Linked DNA regions of Saccharomyces cerevisiae S288C. Changing the gene in region 1 together with any one later gene gives a genetic interaction. Each region holds a gene or a part of one and is shown in the gene's direction. Other genes may lie near its edges.

Region 1 (5,994 bases):
GTATTTTGGAGTTAGGGTTGTGATCATTGACGATAACAGGTTGACCGAAAGGTAACAAAGTACTGATATCAAGTCCTGCCAAGCCAGCATGTTGTCTTGCAGATTTTTTGCTTTTAGGTGAAGCTAGTGAATTTCTCACAATAGTAGAAAATTCGATTGCAGAGAACCATAAATGGTTCGGTAAACCACTACATTGCAGTTGAGTACGGCAGTCATCTAATAAGGTACGGTTGAGCCGTTCAGCGACTCCATGTGCTCGGGAATCCGCTGTGGTTGTATAGCATGGAGTTATACCATTTTTTTCAAGGAATTTATGGAGAGTTCTGTTAGTATACTCAGAACCACGGTCCATTTGTATAACCAAGACACTGGCCTGAAACTGGTTCTTAATAAAAGCTAGTATCGTAGTAAAAACATCGAGGATAGAGTCCTCGCGACGGTCGTGTAATGGATAAACCCAACGGAATTTTGTTGTCTCATCAGTAAATGAGATGAAATAGGATGGTGCACTTTTTGGTAGGTTGTGAACTGGACCAAATATGTCAGTATGTAGGTATTGAAAGGGTTCGTATGAATTTTGGTATTTTAGTCGTGAACCTTTGATATGTCTGTGTTTGGTGCTTTTGCCGATTAAACAATCAGGACATTGATAGTCAATAGCACTAGACCAGTCGACATCTGATTCGTTAAAATACGTGATGGTGTTATTTTTAAGTGAGTATCGAATTGTCTGTGCATTGGCATGCGCAAGCATTCGATGAATGAAAGGATAAGGATATTTGCGTGTACTTTCACTTGTATGGACATTATTGATGGTGGGTACGGAGATATTTGATGGAAGCAAGTACCTTTTAGATACCCAGTAAAAGTCTCCATATTGTACGATAGGTGCAAGTACAGTGCCGTCAGATCGTTCTAAGACGTTTTTGGTAAAGCATGCTGTGATATCTACTGCAGCCAATTCATTCAAACTGAGTAAGTCATAGGCTATGTTAGGAGTGTGCAATACCTTTATTGATGTTTTGGTGTTGTCCTGGAAGTGAAATTGTAGGTCACCAATAGCGTTAATTGGTATATTTCTTTTTTGAGCATCAACTACGTTTATGTCAGGATTAGATGATGCTGAGTGTATGTGATGAGCAGATCTTATAAGGGTTCGTGATGCTCCTGAATCGAGAAGGAGGTGTCCAGGGAGTTCATCATCAGAATGATTAGTGTGATTTACCGTAGATTCAGTAAGTTCCTGGCCTAAGGTGAAGGTCGTGCTTATTGTTCAATTGAATCGGTTCAGTAGTTGATTTACTGATGGAATCGTTGTCCGTGCTGGGAGAGTTATTAGATGTGGATACATTGTGAGCCCTGGCTGTTTTCGATTTCGAATTATTTGTTTTTTGAGGATTCCGAGCTATAACTTTGGGTTTGGTTGTATTCGTATAGCTGCGAGAATCATTCTTCTCATCACTCAGATTTCTCCTGTAATTAGGTTTGCTGTTTCTCGATCCCTGTTGTTCTTCATAAATAGCATGGATATCTAAGAACAGTTCAGCGACTGTCATATTTAGATGTCGATGACGTGTGTAGCGTAAAAATTTATATTCGCCAGATAGACCTCTCATAATTAATTGGCATGCGACCTTGTTATTGATATGAATGCCATTATTGTTCAGTCTGTCGATAATGTTTGTGACTTTTGTTTCAAATGCATCTGCAGGTGTACTGCCATTATATTGCAAATTTGCCAGGGTCACAATGTCGTTTGCCTCTTGGGTATCAGATTGCATTTTTTCAATACTTTTGGAAAGAATTTTCATGATATCCGTATAATCAACGGATAGGATGTCTTTGACCCAGGTAGGTAGGAATTGAGAGGGAGCAAATATTTGAAAAGTGTTATACAAGAAGGTGAGTTCATCATCAGTGATCTGACGTACGGGTTTTCCGTTTACTGTCGGAATAATACCACCGAGATTCGAGTTTTGTAAAAATTTGATGTATGTTTTAACCCAATTTGGAAAGTCATTAGGTGAGGTTAACATTGGTGGTGGTCTGACATATTTTTTAGTGGATGTCATATCAGAGTCCGCTGAGGATGAATCAGTAAATGTATTACCTGACTCAGGTGATGGAGTGCTCAGAGGCGTTCCAACTGATGATGGATACTGCGGAAACTGTGATTGTGGCCCAGGTGGAAAGTACATAGGCGACATTTGATAAGGTGTATACGGAATCATAGATGGGTGTCCGTAAAATGACCAACCAGATGGATTGGCTTGGTTTTGGGTCATCATGCACTGCTGTGGGTACGGCCCATTCTGTGGAGGTGGTACTGAAGCAGGTTGAGGAGAGGCATGATGGGGGTTCTCTGGAACAGCTGATGAAGCAGGTGTTGTTGTCTGTTGAGAGTTAGCCTTAGTGGAAGCCTTCTCACATTCTTCTGTTTTGGAAGCTGAAACGTCTAACGGATCTTGATTTGTGTGGACTTCCTTAGAAGTAACCGAAGCACAGGCGCTACCATGAGAAATATGTGAATGTTGAGATAATTGTTGGGATTCCATTGTTGATAAAGGCTATAATATTAGGTATACAGAATATACTAGAAGTTCTCCTCGAGGATATAGGAATCCTCAAAATGGAATCTATATTTCTACATACTAATATTACGATTATTCCTCATTCCGTTTTATATGTTTATATTCATTGATCCTATTACATTATCAATCCTTGCGTTTCAGCTTCCTCTAACTTCGATGACAGCTTCTCATAACTTATGTCATCATCTTAACACCGTATATGATAATATATTGATAATATAACTATTAGTTGATAGACGATAGTGGATTTTTATTCCAACAGCAACATGTTAAAACGAAAGCTGATGTTTGGAAGCCGTCTCGAGTAGGCTATACCGACATATTTTCCCAGGAATATAAAGGAATTGTTGTTGCGATAAAGTTTGTGATCTGTTCTGATGCTGAAGGAACCTTGTACCCGAGAGAGTATAACTCCCGTCTCCATGATGTAAAAAGACTTGGGAGAACAGGACTGTCATTCACAGATAAAAAGGAGGCGTATTTACTCGAATTTAAAAACCAGGACGTTGTAGATCATGTTCATAAGTTAATCTTGCCTTTTAACACATCTTGGCAATCTAACTAGATTCGTCCAATTGTATTTTTACTTCAATAATCTTACATAATAATAAAAATTTTTCTATTTGTCCAAAAAAAAAAAAAATAAATAAAATAAAAAAAGCTACCGTAATTCATGCGTACAGTAACTGGCTTCCTTACTATACCAAGTTTATTCTTTGATTGCGCTGCCAAAATAGCCTGTCAAAATTTGCGCGGATGTATTTTCGACGTCAACGGTGCCATTATTTTTCTGTCACTGACACCTGTACTCCTGAACGGGTATCGGCATTTAGAACGCTGCCTCCAAATGTCTGGTGAACGTTCGTGAATATTCAGAGTGTCGTTATTGCAATGGAATGGCTGCCTTTGTGACGGCGTCAGGATAAATTGTGAGTCACTGAAACATATTCGGCAAAGTAAAAAAACGGACGTAAAAGATTCTTTCTTTATTCTTTTCACGACAGTCTACAAGTAACTGAAATAGCATACATTTACCAAAAAAATCGAAAAAAATGTTTAATACTACACCAATTAATATCGACAAATGGTTGAAGGAGAACGAAGGCCTTTTGAAACCACCGGTGAATAATTATTGCTTACATAAAGGGGGATTCACTGTGATGATTGTCGGTGGGCCTAATGAAAGAACCGGTTATCACATCAATCCAACTCCCGAATGGTTCTATCAAAAAAAAGGATCTATGCTTTTAAAGGTTGTGGATGAGACAGACGCTGAACCAAAGTTCATTGATATCATCATCAATGAAGGCGATTCATATTTATTGCCAGGAAATGTTCCTCACAGTCCTGTTCGGTTTGCTGATACTGTGGGTATTGTTGTGGAACAAGATAGGCCTGGGGGAGAAAACGATAAGATAAGGTGGTACTGTTCTCATTGTCGCCAAGTGGTCCACGAGAGTGAACTGCAAATGTTAGACTTAGGTACCCAAGTGAAAGAAGCCATTTTAGATTTTGAAAATGATGTCGAAAAGAGGACATGTTTCCATTGCAAGACGTTAAACTACGCACGCCCTCAATCTAATTAAGTATTAGAAGAGTTGTTAGTTGTACTTTTATAGCTCTCTTGTTACGTAAGATTGCGGCACTAAGATGCGGTGCCAATTTTTTTTTTTTTTCTCTTGATCAAAGCAGCTAGCTGTTCATCAAGATATGTAACGTTTTTAAGCACTGAACTAACAAGGGGAGCCAGTGAACGACTATGTCTTCACAAGATGTTCTGATACATTCAGATGATCCGTGCCATCCAGCAAATCTCATTTGCACGCTATGCAAGCAGTTTTTTCATAATAATTGGTGCACCGGAACTGGAGGTGGGATTTCAATAAAAGATCCTAACACGAATTATTATTATCTCGCCCCATCTGGGGTGCAGAAGGAGAAGATGATACCTGAGGATTTGTTTGTCATGGACGCTCAGACATTAGAGTATTTGCGCTCTCCCAAGCTTTACAAGCCAAGCGCATGTACTCCATTGTTCTTAGCGTGCTACCAAAAGAAAAATGCAGGTGCTATAATACATACACACTCCCAAAATGCTGTGATATGCTCCTTGCTATTTGGCGATGAGTTCAGGATTGCTAACATCGAACAAATCAAAGCAATTCCAAGCGGAAAGGTGGACCCTGTGACCAAGAAACCCATGGCGCTATCGTTTTTTGATACGCTGAAGATTCCCATCATTGAAAACATGGCGCATGAGGACGAGTTGATCGATGACTTGCACAAGACTTTTAAAGATTATCCAGACACATGCGCCGTAATTGTGAGGAGACATGGCATTTTTGTTTGGGGTCCGACAATCGATAAGGCCAAAATTTTCAACGAAGCCATCGATTATTTGATGGAGCTGGCCATAAAGATGTACCAAATGGGGATTCCTCCCGACTGTGGCATTGGCGAAGAGAAGAAGCATCTGAAGATGGCCAGTCCGTGACGGGTTAATGCTTAAATTTATTGTATGATTTATATACTTCTATACATGGTATTATTATTATTATTATTATTATTATTATTATTATTATTATTATTATTACTATTATTGCAACTATATTATTTTGTCTTTGATTCGTACACTTTTTCCCATATTACATGCTCATTTTCGATTTTATTCTTGGTGTCCTTTAGCATTGGGACCTTCTTTTCGTCTATAGGAGCTAGACTGTCATCATTTTCTGCATCTATGAGGCCAACAAGAGCAATCTCGCTGCCTCGAAGTAACTGTGCCTTGCAGATGAATTCCTTGCTTATGCGGTTGAAAACATTGGTTATGAATAGATTAGTATTTTTGTCGAAGCCGTTTAGGCTTGCTATGAGGCATTCGCCGTCAACTTTGATTATAACAACTCTTTTATTTAAGTAGTCTTTCAAGGTGGCTGACATGGTGCACGATAGTGTGTTCTTCTTGTATGGTGTACTGTATGCAGCTTGCTGGTCCATCTTATAAGAACCACGTAAGATTAGTTTTTTTTTTTCCCTTTACGCCATGATAGTATTTTCAGGACTTAAAGGGAAAATCAACAAGAACAGAAAGAAGGAAAACAAGCAAAACAAGGATACTGCAGACGTGTAGAAACATTTAGTAAAATGGTCGCTAGAGGTAGAACAGACGAGATATCTACAGATGTTTCAGAGGCTAATTCTGAACACTCGTTGATGATTACAGAAACATCATCACCGTTCAGATCTATATTCTCCCACAGTGGGAAAGTAGCGAATGCAGGCGCTTTAGAGGAATCGGACAAGCAGATACTGGAATGGGCAGGTAAACTGGAATTGGAGAGTATGGAGCTGAGGGAAAACTCTGACAAGCTAATTAAAGTTTTAAATGAAAATTCTAAGACAT
Region 2 (6,165 bases), on another chromosome or scaffold:
ATAGTGCAAAATATGTAAAACTTCCAAAAGTTTACAAACAGATAGACAGCATGACGGCTGAAGCCATTCTTTCTTCAACGGCAGTGTTCTAGAGTTTTCATCTGCAAATATACCTAAATTTTTTCCATCATTTCTTGCAGTTAATACGTCAACAGTCACGATGACTACGGACAAACGTTTACTGTTCGGATATCAAGTATCGATATTAAGTACTCAATATTACAGGCATTATGATCTGGCCTAGTGAACAAATATAATCAGCAAATTTAGCGGAACCGATATCAAGAAGTTAAAAAATGTCTATGTGTTAACCAAGATCCACATACTTAGAATGTACCATAGTAGATGCTTATAAAAGAGCGCCATGTAGTTCCGCATTGTATCAGCTAATGAGGCAAAAAAACAAGAATGATCTTTTGTACAATTTTGAAATTTTCACCTAGCAATATAGTCCCAAACCAAGATGTTTTCTATAAAAGCCTTTAATCCGGAAGTGCAAAGTGGTTGAAGACTAGCCTGAAATCTAGAATCCTTGCATATTTTTTTAAGGTTTATTTTCCTCCCTCACTATGGAAAAATGTTACATCGATAATATTATAATAAGCTAGTCAGTTTGACCGCCTAGCTAGTACTAATTATTTGTGAAACTGGTAAGAGTGTTCATTTGCCCTTCATAAGTGAACTATAATTGGTTTAGGATGCGCCAATATCTGGATTGGACCACACTATAGAATATCAGAAAAGGCAAGATTTGTTTAACAAAAAGCATGACTAAGCTAGACCATTGAGAGCAACCTCGAAACTAAGGTGGAGCTGTGATCTTGAATATTCTACTCTGGTTATCGTTAATTTCGATTAGCCCAAGATAACTCTTTTGAATTTCAAGATTTTTCAAGCTGCCTCCTTAATGATTTTATGGATTGTAGGAGGAAAAACCTTAGCGTGGTATTTCTGGAACACGGATAAGGGAAGATGCTGATTTTGTGCCGTCTTGAATACCCCTTTGAGTATTGGACACTGTTTAGACGAACGAATAATTCGAAACTTATTGAGTGTTTTTGATAGGGGGATGTATGAATACTTCCATTTTTGGTTTTAAATAAGTACAAGAATTTCACTATGAAATGGTCAAGAATGTATTCGAGAGAAAAAACTTTTTTAGGGAGAAATAAGCAGCATGAGCTACAGAGATATCCATAACAATGAATAACATCATAATGTCTCTCAGCCAGAAAACACAGCTAGACAAATACTGACTTTGCGAATGCACCAGAAATGAACCATATGGGCTAGAATCCATTGTACCAAAAGTTGCCTGTTCTTTACGTTTACCAAAGAATATCGCACAGAAAACTGTCAAAATTCATTGCGTTGTGTGACTCTAACTGGAAGTTTACTATGCAAACAGGATGATTATTGTACATTTATTCGTAATTGCACCCAGGTCTTTTTTGCCTTTATTTCGGGTTTACAGGAAAACAAGTAAATTTTGACGTGATAAAAAAGTAGACTCGTTAAATCAGGATGAAGTACCGGTAATGGTTGCATTGACAAATAGTTGGCTCAATGATGCTAGTGGGTATTGATTTTGTTGAAAATATGGGTGTATCATTCGTGCCATAATAGAATTAGCAAGCAACCTATCATTCTACATTCTAAACGATAGTACTGTTTCCTTGCTTTTCTGAATTCTTTTCTGATGAACAAAATCCCTCCTTTCTTGGACAACATACTCTAAATTCGGTTATTGCAAGGTATCATTAATTTGCCACTAAATATATAAGTCGCAAAAAATGAACATGATTTTTTGCTACAGTTGTAATAAAGTCTTTTTTATCCAAAGCTTATGAAACCCAACGAATATAATGCATTGGACGTCCATCTTGAGCGCTATTTTGCTTTTCTGCCTGTCAGGAGCAAGAGCATCACCTGCAAAGACAGTTATTCGTAACAAGGTGCCCTTGCTTGTCACTAATGCCTGCACGAGGATTTTTCAAAAAGTTACTTGGGAGTATACCAGCAAGTCTAAGCGTTCATCACCAGTATGTTCTTACGAACCAGCGTTTCAATCAATGCTGTATTGTATCTATGAAACGTTGGATGAAAAAGGTTATTCGAATAAAACCTTAGAAAAAACATTTAGTACCATCAAAAAAAACTGTGCAAGTTATAGTGATGCTCTTCAGAACATGACTAATTCTGAGTTTTATGACGTTCTAAACAACGGAACGAGGCATATGACGCCCTATGTCAAAGGCAGTGCAAACCTAACATATCCAGTTGAAATGGATACACAGTTAAGAAAAGCCTACTATCATGCATTGCATGGTTTCTATGCTAACTTAGATGTCGGAAACATATATGGTGGCATTATATGTGCTTATTTTGTCGCTATCATGGCTTTTGCAGGCGTTCTTCATTGCATGAATTACACTCCCTTTAAAACTGTTCTATTGAAGCAAAAGCTTGTGGGATATGTAAGGGGATACCTCACTCTACCTACCATTGGAAGCAAACATGCGTCAGATTTCTCTTATTTTAGAATATTCACAGGATATTTACCTACAAGATTAGAGGGTATCATTATTCTTGGATATCTCGTGCTTCATACCGTTTTTTTGGCATACGGTTATGAATACGATCCTGAAAATATAATATTCAAGTCTCGTAGAGTTCAAGTTGCTCGATATGTGGCAGACAGAAGTGGTGTACTCGCATTCGCACACTTTCCATTAATAGTTCTTTTCGCGGGAAGAAACAACTTTCTCGAGTATATTTCTGGGGTTAAATATACTTCCTTCATTATGTTTCACAAATGGTTGGGAAGAATGATGTTTTTGGATGCTATGATTCATGGCTCTGCATATACTAGTTATACGGTAGCGAATAAAACTTGGGCAACAAGTAAAAACCGATTATATTGGCAATTCGGGGTGGCAGCACTTTGTTTAGCTGGCACAATGGTTTTCTTTTCCTTTGCAGTATTCAGGAAGTATTTTTATGAAGCCTTTCTTTTTCTTCATATCGTCCTTGGTGCAATGTTCTTTTATGCATGTTGGGAGCATGTTGTTAGTTTAAGTGGCATTGAGTGGATATACACTGCTATTGCGATTTGGATCGTTGACCGGATTATTAGAATTATCAAAGCTTCTTATTTTGGTTTCCCCAAAGCTTCCCTACAACTAATCGGGGATGATCTCATTCGTTTAACAGTTAAAAAACCGGCAAGGCCATGGAGGGCCAAACCTGGGCAATATGTTTTCGTTTCGTTTTTACATCCACTGTACTTCTGGCAGTCACATCCATTTACTGTTTTGGATTCAGTAAGCAAGAATGGTGAACTGGTTATTATCCTGAAAGAAAAAAAGGGAGTAACAAGACTTGTCAAAAAGTATGTGTGTCGCAATGGAGGTAAGACATCTATGAGACTAGCTATAGAAGGTCCATATGGTTCTTCATCTCCGGTCAATAATTACAATAATGTATTGTTACTCACTGGAGGTACCGGTTTGCCTGGACCTATTGCACATGCAATTAAACTTGGAAAGACGTCAGCGGCTGCTGGAAAACAATCTGTAAAATTAGTGATTGCAGTTAGAGGATTCGACGTACTCGAGGCTTATAAGCCGGAGTTGATGTGTTTAGAAAATCTGAATGTACAGCTTCACATCTACAACACAATGGAAGTCCCATCATTAACCCCTAGTGATAGTTTAGATATTTCTCAACAGGATGAGAAGGCTGATGAAAAAGGCACTGTTGTGGCAACTACTTTAGAAAAGTCTGCCAATCCACTTGGTTTTGATGGTGTTGTTTTCCATTGCGGGCGACCAAATGTTAAGGAACTTCTACATGAAGCGGCTGAATTGAGTGGCTCATTATCTGTGGTTTGCTGTGGACCTCCTATTTTTGTTGACAAAGTGAGGAATGAAACCGCAAAAATAGTTTTAGATAAGTCTGCAAAAGCCATTGAGTACTTTGAAGAGTATCAATGCTGGTGATCATTTTTTACTTAAAACTAGTCATTTCATTAATAATACCTATCCAAATTTTAGTATGTCGATGGAGAAAGCTGCCTATAACTTTATGGTAAGGAGGTAATTGAAGCAGAGTACAGCAGTCCTTTGATATTTTATCTAAATCTTAAATATCTCTTTTATGGAATTTGTGAAAGTCGTAGTGTGTCGCATGGTTTTTTTTCTTAAGAAGTTAGCTCTGTATAGTCCCTGTATTTAAAGAGTTAATATTTCGATAAACCTGCAATGAAACCCTTTCTTGGCAATTTGGCTATATTTAAAGTGTGAACAATGGTCACTGAATTTTTATACGGCCCTCAGGCAAATTTTATGAAACGTTAATTGCGTGTTTCAGTATTATACACAGATGCAAGGAAGATAAACAAAACTGCATAAGCTAACTTCCGTCCTGGAAAATTTACCACAAGCTTTATAATGGCTGTTATTTTATTTACCATACCATCCGTTCATATATCTTTTCAATTTTCTCTGTATTCCTGTTTTTGTACTGTGGAGTAATATCACACACCGAGTCTTCGATATAATCGACATAACTCATGCATATAGGATACTTAAAGATAGAGTTTGATTCAGAGTGCCGGATAAAAAGATGATTACCGTCGCTAAAACAATGTAATCGGGATAAGTGTATAATAGAGGCTACATTATCCAACATATGGTTCTATTAATATTTTCGCGACGCCAACGTTGTCGTCTTTTACAGCTTTTTCTTTTTTTTTTTTTACCTGGTTTATTCATTATTAGTTGTTAACTATCATCTTGTACTTAGAAATAGATATGTGATTAGCAAGTGCTGAAGAACAATGAGATTCTTAGCTATGACCTCGAAATACATTATTTTTGGTCCTTAGACAGCAAGACTTTAGATTCTCAAACAGCTCTAATGTGCCAGAGTCACACGTGTAAAAACTTGCTCTTAATTCAGTCAATAACGCTCGGTCTAAACGTTTGTAAAAGTTCGGTTGGAAGATAATAGATTCGATGCATGATATCTGAACCTAGTTCCTTTTCTCAAAATGCACCGAACCAACATTAGGTAGCGAAATATGGTTTCGCGTTAAGGTTAAGGTTTATAGGAATGACAAACGCGTAAATCCGCATATTTTTGTGCTGATGACAAAAGTTTAAAAAATGTTTCATTTCTTGGGTAGAGCGTTTTATTTATAGTATATATCAATAGCACATAAACCTATGTGGAACATAGCTTCATAAATCTTCCTTAAAAAGTATGCCATCAAACATGTATAGGACTAAAAATATAATCGCCCTAAAAAAGTTTCAACCTTATCTTATGTTTCTACTGGGGATTTAGTGGAAGATTTTAGTCGGTAGAAGGTCACTAATATTTTCTTTTAAAAAACCAGTTAAGCTTTCAATTTGCAAAAAAAAATGTTTTTATTATCTATTATTGTACTAAATTATCATTATTTATAAAACGAGAAGACAAATCTAAAAAGCTGATAAAGCAAAAAATTTTCTGGCAACTCTATCCCCTTCTTATCTACAGTGTGAAATAAAAGTGACCTTTAGACTCTCCTAGGTAATTGTTTATAACGAAAAAGACATTTACTCATATGTGATAACTTAACGTTTAAATGCAATTCATTTTGGTCAGCTGAATAGGCTTCACGCACAGCAATCTCATCTCGAGCTATTATAAACCCTCTCAATAGCCATTGGCATAAACTAACACCAAAGTACGCAAAACCCACGAATATTGCTGTACGATAATAATCGTTTCCATTCGTATCAGTTGAACGAAGTTCCAGACCGATTATGGGGGCAACTAAGGCAAAAGCCGCCATAAAAATCCAGGTACTACCAAAGGTACCAGGAAGCTTTTGAAGACCAACAATGCGTGTAACAATTGAAGCAATTGTTGGCCAAATTGTTCCCATAATAGAACCAACCAATAATCCAAAAGCTATCGCAGTGGCCAAATTTTTACAAGGTATCCACATGGCCCAACAAAGGATGGCCATGACAAGGTGCAATATCATGCCAACTGTTAGTGATCCATATTTATCAGCAATGTGACCCACAATTGGTCGTCCCAGCAGAGAGCCGACACTCACCATGCACGATACGTATGAGCCTTGCTTACTAGTATAACCTAAACTAACGGTAA
Region 3 (4,570 bases), on another chromosome or scaffold:
GTGATAACTCCTGATATTTGTCTCGAAAGAAAATCGATTTCTGACTTAATTGGGTCATTACAGAATAACAGATTAGCCAACCAATGTAAAAAAATGTTAAAATACTATGCATATCCGACACTATTGATTGAGTTTGATGAAGGACAGTCGTTTTCTTTAGAACCTTTTAGTGAACGTAGAAATTATAAGAATAAAGACATATCAACTGTTCATCCTATATCAAGCAAGTTATCCCAGGATGAAATTCAGCTAAAACTAGCCAAATTAGTATTGCGGTTTCCCACTTTAAAGATTATATGGTCTTCCTCACCCCTGCAAACTGTAAATATAATCCTAGAGTTGAAATTAGGACGTGAGCAACCTGACCCTAGTAATGCAGTTATATTGGGAACGAATAAAGTTAGATCGGATTTTAATAGCACTGCAAAGGGCCTGAAGGATGGTGATAACGAGTCTAAATTCAAGAGACTGTTGAATGTTCCTGGAGTGTCAAAAATTGATTATTTCAATCTCCGCAAAAAGATCAAGAGCTTCAATAAGCTTCAAAAGCTTTCATGGAATGAGATTAATGAACTTATTAATGACGAAGATTTGACGGATAGAATATACTACTTCTTGAGAACAGAAAAAGAAGAACAAGAACAAGAGTCAACAGATGAAAATCTTGAATCTCCTGGTAAGACCACTGATGATAACGCTTTACATGATCATCATAATGATGTTCCTGAAGCACCTGTGTAAAATATTGTTTAATTTAACGAACCCTGTTAAAACATCAGTATAAAATGCGATTAACTATAGTGAAAATAACAATATTCATTTGGTGACTTCGACCGTATATGTTATAAGTTAGACATGCTCTTTGAATCTTTTACTTTGATATTTTATTCCGCATATATATTCTTTTTTTCGCGTTCATAGTTTATTCACTCAAATTTTTCATATCATCCGCAATTCATCTTCCACTTTTTAGCAGTAAAAATGACCAAATGAAGTTCATTTATTTTTGATTTTTTAACCGTATTTGGTGGAATCTGAGCGTGGCATTAGTGAATCATTTTAAGCCAAATTACCCGTGAGTTTTTCTTAGAAGCGCACAATCATATTCATTATTAATAAATGCTTCAAATTCATCCTCTTGAATAAGGTCCAGAAATAATTTTGTCTCTTTTCCATTACCTATGTGGGTAAAAATTTTCTTTTGCGACTAAGATTCAAGAGACCAAGTTTCTTTTCCACAACGATATATAATAAACCAAATGGTACAAAGTAGGAAACAACAAATAAGGAAAGCTTTTTCTTAAGTAGATTTGTATATTTATCCAAGAATGAACGATGTGTCTCGTAAACAGTAATTCCTTTTAAATTTTATATTTCTTCTATTTTCTGAACTTTTTTACTTAAGAAAAAATTTGGAAATCATTACCTGTAGGATGGCTTAGCTCTGATAATCAACCTACCAAAGTAGTTTGCAGTTATGTGCACTTTTCCCTTCATGTTAACATTATTCGGGCCGGTCTATTGTTAAATAATTAAGGGTCCATTTTAGGCACGGCGGATTCACAGAAAACCACGCAGTGCTCAACGTCATATACCACAAAATCCGTTTTCGTATTAAAAGTGAATGTGTCAGTAAAAGGCATTCTTTTTAGCGTTCATTATTTCCTTTAATATGATGTACCAATCTGTCCACTGCCTATGTAAACTTAAAAGGGAGGCATTTATGACTTGAGATTTGGTTAAATTACCAATATCTCAAGGGTAACAATATTTGCTATACTGGTCATCTAGAATAAAAATACTGCGTTGTAGTGCTGAGTGATAGAACTTTTAAATCATATTATGTTATATAACAAAGAGCAGGGAACAAGCGGCGCTAGTAGCTCTGGTCGTAGAACGAAATTCCACTTCGATCGTTTTGTACAAATGGTTCTGTTCATTGCCGCTAATCCCAATTATTGCTGTTCAGTAGCCAGTATCCCGAAATCTGGTGTCACGCCAGATTTAAAAAGAGCAGATATTCTTGAACAGAAGATCAAAAGCTTAAATAGTGCGCTGAGTCCAAAATTGAAGGAAGAAAGTCGTCTTGGTGGGCCTTTGCATAACCCCTCTATTCTACCAGCCCCATCTTTTTCATCACTACCAATATCATCCAATGGAAAGAAATCTTTAGCAGGATATAGACCTAAAAGTAGGAAGAAACAAACTATACTCCCCAACGGTCAACCAAAAGAGTGCGCCACTTGTGGTGACACCTGGACTTCTCAGTGGAGAAGTGGACCTAATGGAAATGTTGAGCTATGTAGTCGATGTGGCATAGCATATAGGAAAAAAATGGAGAAAAAAATACGATCGCAACAATCCTCCGATGATGGTACTAAAAATTTTATATTTAAAAATAAATAGTTAAGTAGTTTGTAAAGATGGTATATTCAGCGGATTCTTCCTCTATTTTTATGTTTTTTGAGATATTTCGAGCTTTCTATTTTTTTAAAATGCCTGAATTTCCATCTTCAAAAAAAACATAAAAAAGGTACTTTACCACCAAATAAATGATAACCACAATTTACTTTACTTATCCTCCACTATCAAGTATCTTCCTACCAGGAAAAATGAATTTCAAATGATTCGAAATTTACGGAGGCTCAATATAGAGATAGTGTGACGATGTTCATAAGGGCTTTACCGCTTAGCACGTATCTACAGTTTTCACTCAATAATATATTCTCTAGGAATGATTGCCAATAGATTGATATCCAAGAGAAGGTTCAATTAAGGAATTTCATTTCGTTCTAATCTTTTGTTGAAAATAAAAATTTTTACTTATATGTTAAAGCTTAAGATTCCACATAAGGTCGAAGACAATCGTCACTAATGTGTGGTTCTGCCTGCTCATCTCTAAAATATATTACTTTTTGTACAGACATCTAAATTGAGCTGGTGCTTATGCTATTCTTATGATTTATTTTCAAGTGGTTTATTGAACTTTATTCCATATCCAATGATCTGAATATTTCTACTTATGTATAATAATTGTATATTATAAAAGAATAACTATTTTAAAGCGTCGGTTAAAATCAAATGGGCAATAAATCTTCTCATCCTAATCGCATCTTTATAATCAAAATCCAATGGCGCATCTGCACTTCCATAGAGAGTATTCATACAAACATATATTCCACAGTCGTAGCCATTTGGTTGCTGCGGACAATCTAAATGAATCAAATCAAAGTCTTCTCCTATTGTATGCTTACTTTCCTCCATAACATATTTTTGCAAGTCAGTCAGTATAGCGAAACTCATAGCATTTGGACCATTCGATAATGAATCTACGTAACCTATAGTTTTCTTTTTTAAATCAATTATGCCCAACGCCCAGTGGGATTGGTTCAAATTTATTGGTGTAAAGATTTTATCAAGTTTATCAATTTGTGTCTTCTTTCTCTTCATCCACCTCCGGACGCCTTGATAACCCCTTTCTGATAAATTGGTATAGAAAAATGAATTAAACGCCACTGTATTAGGGGTAGATTTTTCAATGTATTTCATAAAAAACTCAATGATAGTGTCATTTAGCCATCTTCGTGGTGCCAAGGTCTTAAAATCACGTACTGTTATCTCTATATTATCTCTATTCATTAACTGAGTATTTTCTCTAGATGCCAAAGCTTTTTGTACTTGGTCATCGTCTTTTTCATTTAATTCAGGAACAAGTTTCTTCTTGGCCAATTGTTCTTTCTTTTTTTTAAGATCTTCTTGAATCTTCTTTCTTTCATTTAAAATTTCGTTATATCTTTTGAAGTCTTTCTCAAACTCTAATATAGATCTATCAAACTTCAACTTTTGATTTAAGTAATCCTTATGTTTCCTTTCCAAAGAAGATATCTTTTTTTCTTTAACAAATACTAAATCATCATCATTTTCATTTCTTGTCTGTAGTCTGTTCTTGTTGTTCTCAATTAAAATTGTTTTGATCTTTTCAGTTAAGTCGATTATAGACTTTTTTAAGCCAGTGTCTTTTTCCTTATCCATATCCATTAATTTTAACTGTCTTTCTCTTTCTTCTTTTAATATTTTTGGAACTTTATATTCTCCGTTGAATATTTGTCGTAAATATGTTACTTCCTCAGATTGTGCTCTCGACACCAGTTTAGTATTGTTAATGTTCTGTTTTGCAACTTTTTTCTTTCTAATAAAGGCTGTCCCATACTGTCGCCTGTCGTAGCTATTTTTCTGATCAGAAGTGTTATTTTCTGAGTTAGAACCAATAGCACTTGTTTTCCACTTATTCCAACCAAAAGGATCTCTCGAAAAAGTTATGCTATTGTCACTATCACAATTGCTTTTTTGAGAAGCCAAAGAGCTGATTGGTGAGGTTGAAGGTGTCCCCACACCTTCACTTTCGATTCTTCTCCTTTTATTTGGTAAGGCCCACGTCGACGTATCGAATTTGTGTTTTCTTGTATCCGAGGAATAATTTTCACGTAGACCATATGGTACGTCACTGCTCCTACTTCCAGAACTTCTGCTCTCAACGTCGCTGTTACCACTTGCTTCTACTTCAGAACCA

What was found.
Region 2: mutations in BNA1 (region 1) and FRE2 together harm fitness more than expected from each alone (negative genetic interaction), as found in Saccharomyces cerevisiae (one large-scale study listed by BioGRID).
Region 3: mutations in BNA1 (region 1) and ECM23 together harm fitness more than expected from each alone (negative genetic interaction), as found in Saccharomyces cerevisiae (one large-scale study listed by BioGRID).

The regions. Positions count from the first base shown.
Region 1 is NC_001142.9:469,321-475,314, reverse strand, and holds BNA1 (3-hydroxyanthranilate 3,4-dioxygenase), read left to right. Parts: upstream 1-3,643; coding exon 3,644-4,177; downstream 4,178-5,994. Other genes in the region: YJR026W (gag protein), read right to left, coding at 1,233-2,555; methylthioribulose 1-phosphate dehydratase MDE1, read left to right, coding at 4,351-5,085; U4/U6-U5 snRNP complex subunit LSM8, read right to left, coding at 5,202-5,531; REC107 (Rec107p), read left to right, coding at 5,736-5,994.
Region 2 is NC_001143.9:6,927-13,091, reverse strand, and holds FRE2 (ferric/cupric-chelate reductase), read left to right. Parts: upstream 1-1,865; coding exon 1,866-4,001; downstream 4,002-6,165. Other genes in the region: MCH2 (Mch2p), read right to left, coding at 5,564-6,165. UniProt on the Saccharomyces cerevisiae protein: Metalloreductase responsible for reducing extracellular iron and copper prior to import. Catalyzes the reductive uptake of Fe(3+)-salts and Fe(3+) bound to catecholate or hydroxamate siderophores.
Region 3 is NC_001148.4:509,259-513,828, forward strand, and holds ECM23 (Ecm23p), read left to right. Parts: upstream 1-1,842; coding exon 1,843-2,406; downstream 2,407-4,570. Other genes in the region: ssDNA endodeoxyribonuclease RAD1, read left to right, coding at 1-741; SUMO protease ULP1, read right to left, coding at 3,055-4,570. UniProt on the Saccharomyces cerevisiae protein: Involved in morphogenesis. May be involved in cell wall organization and biogenesis.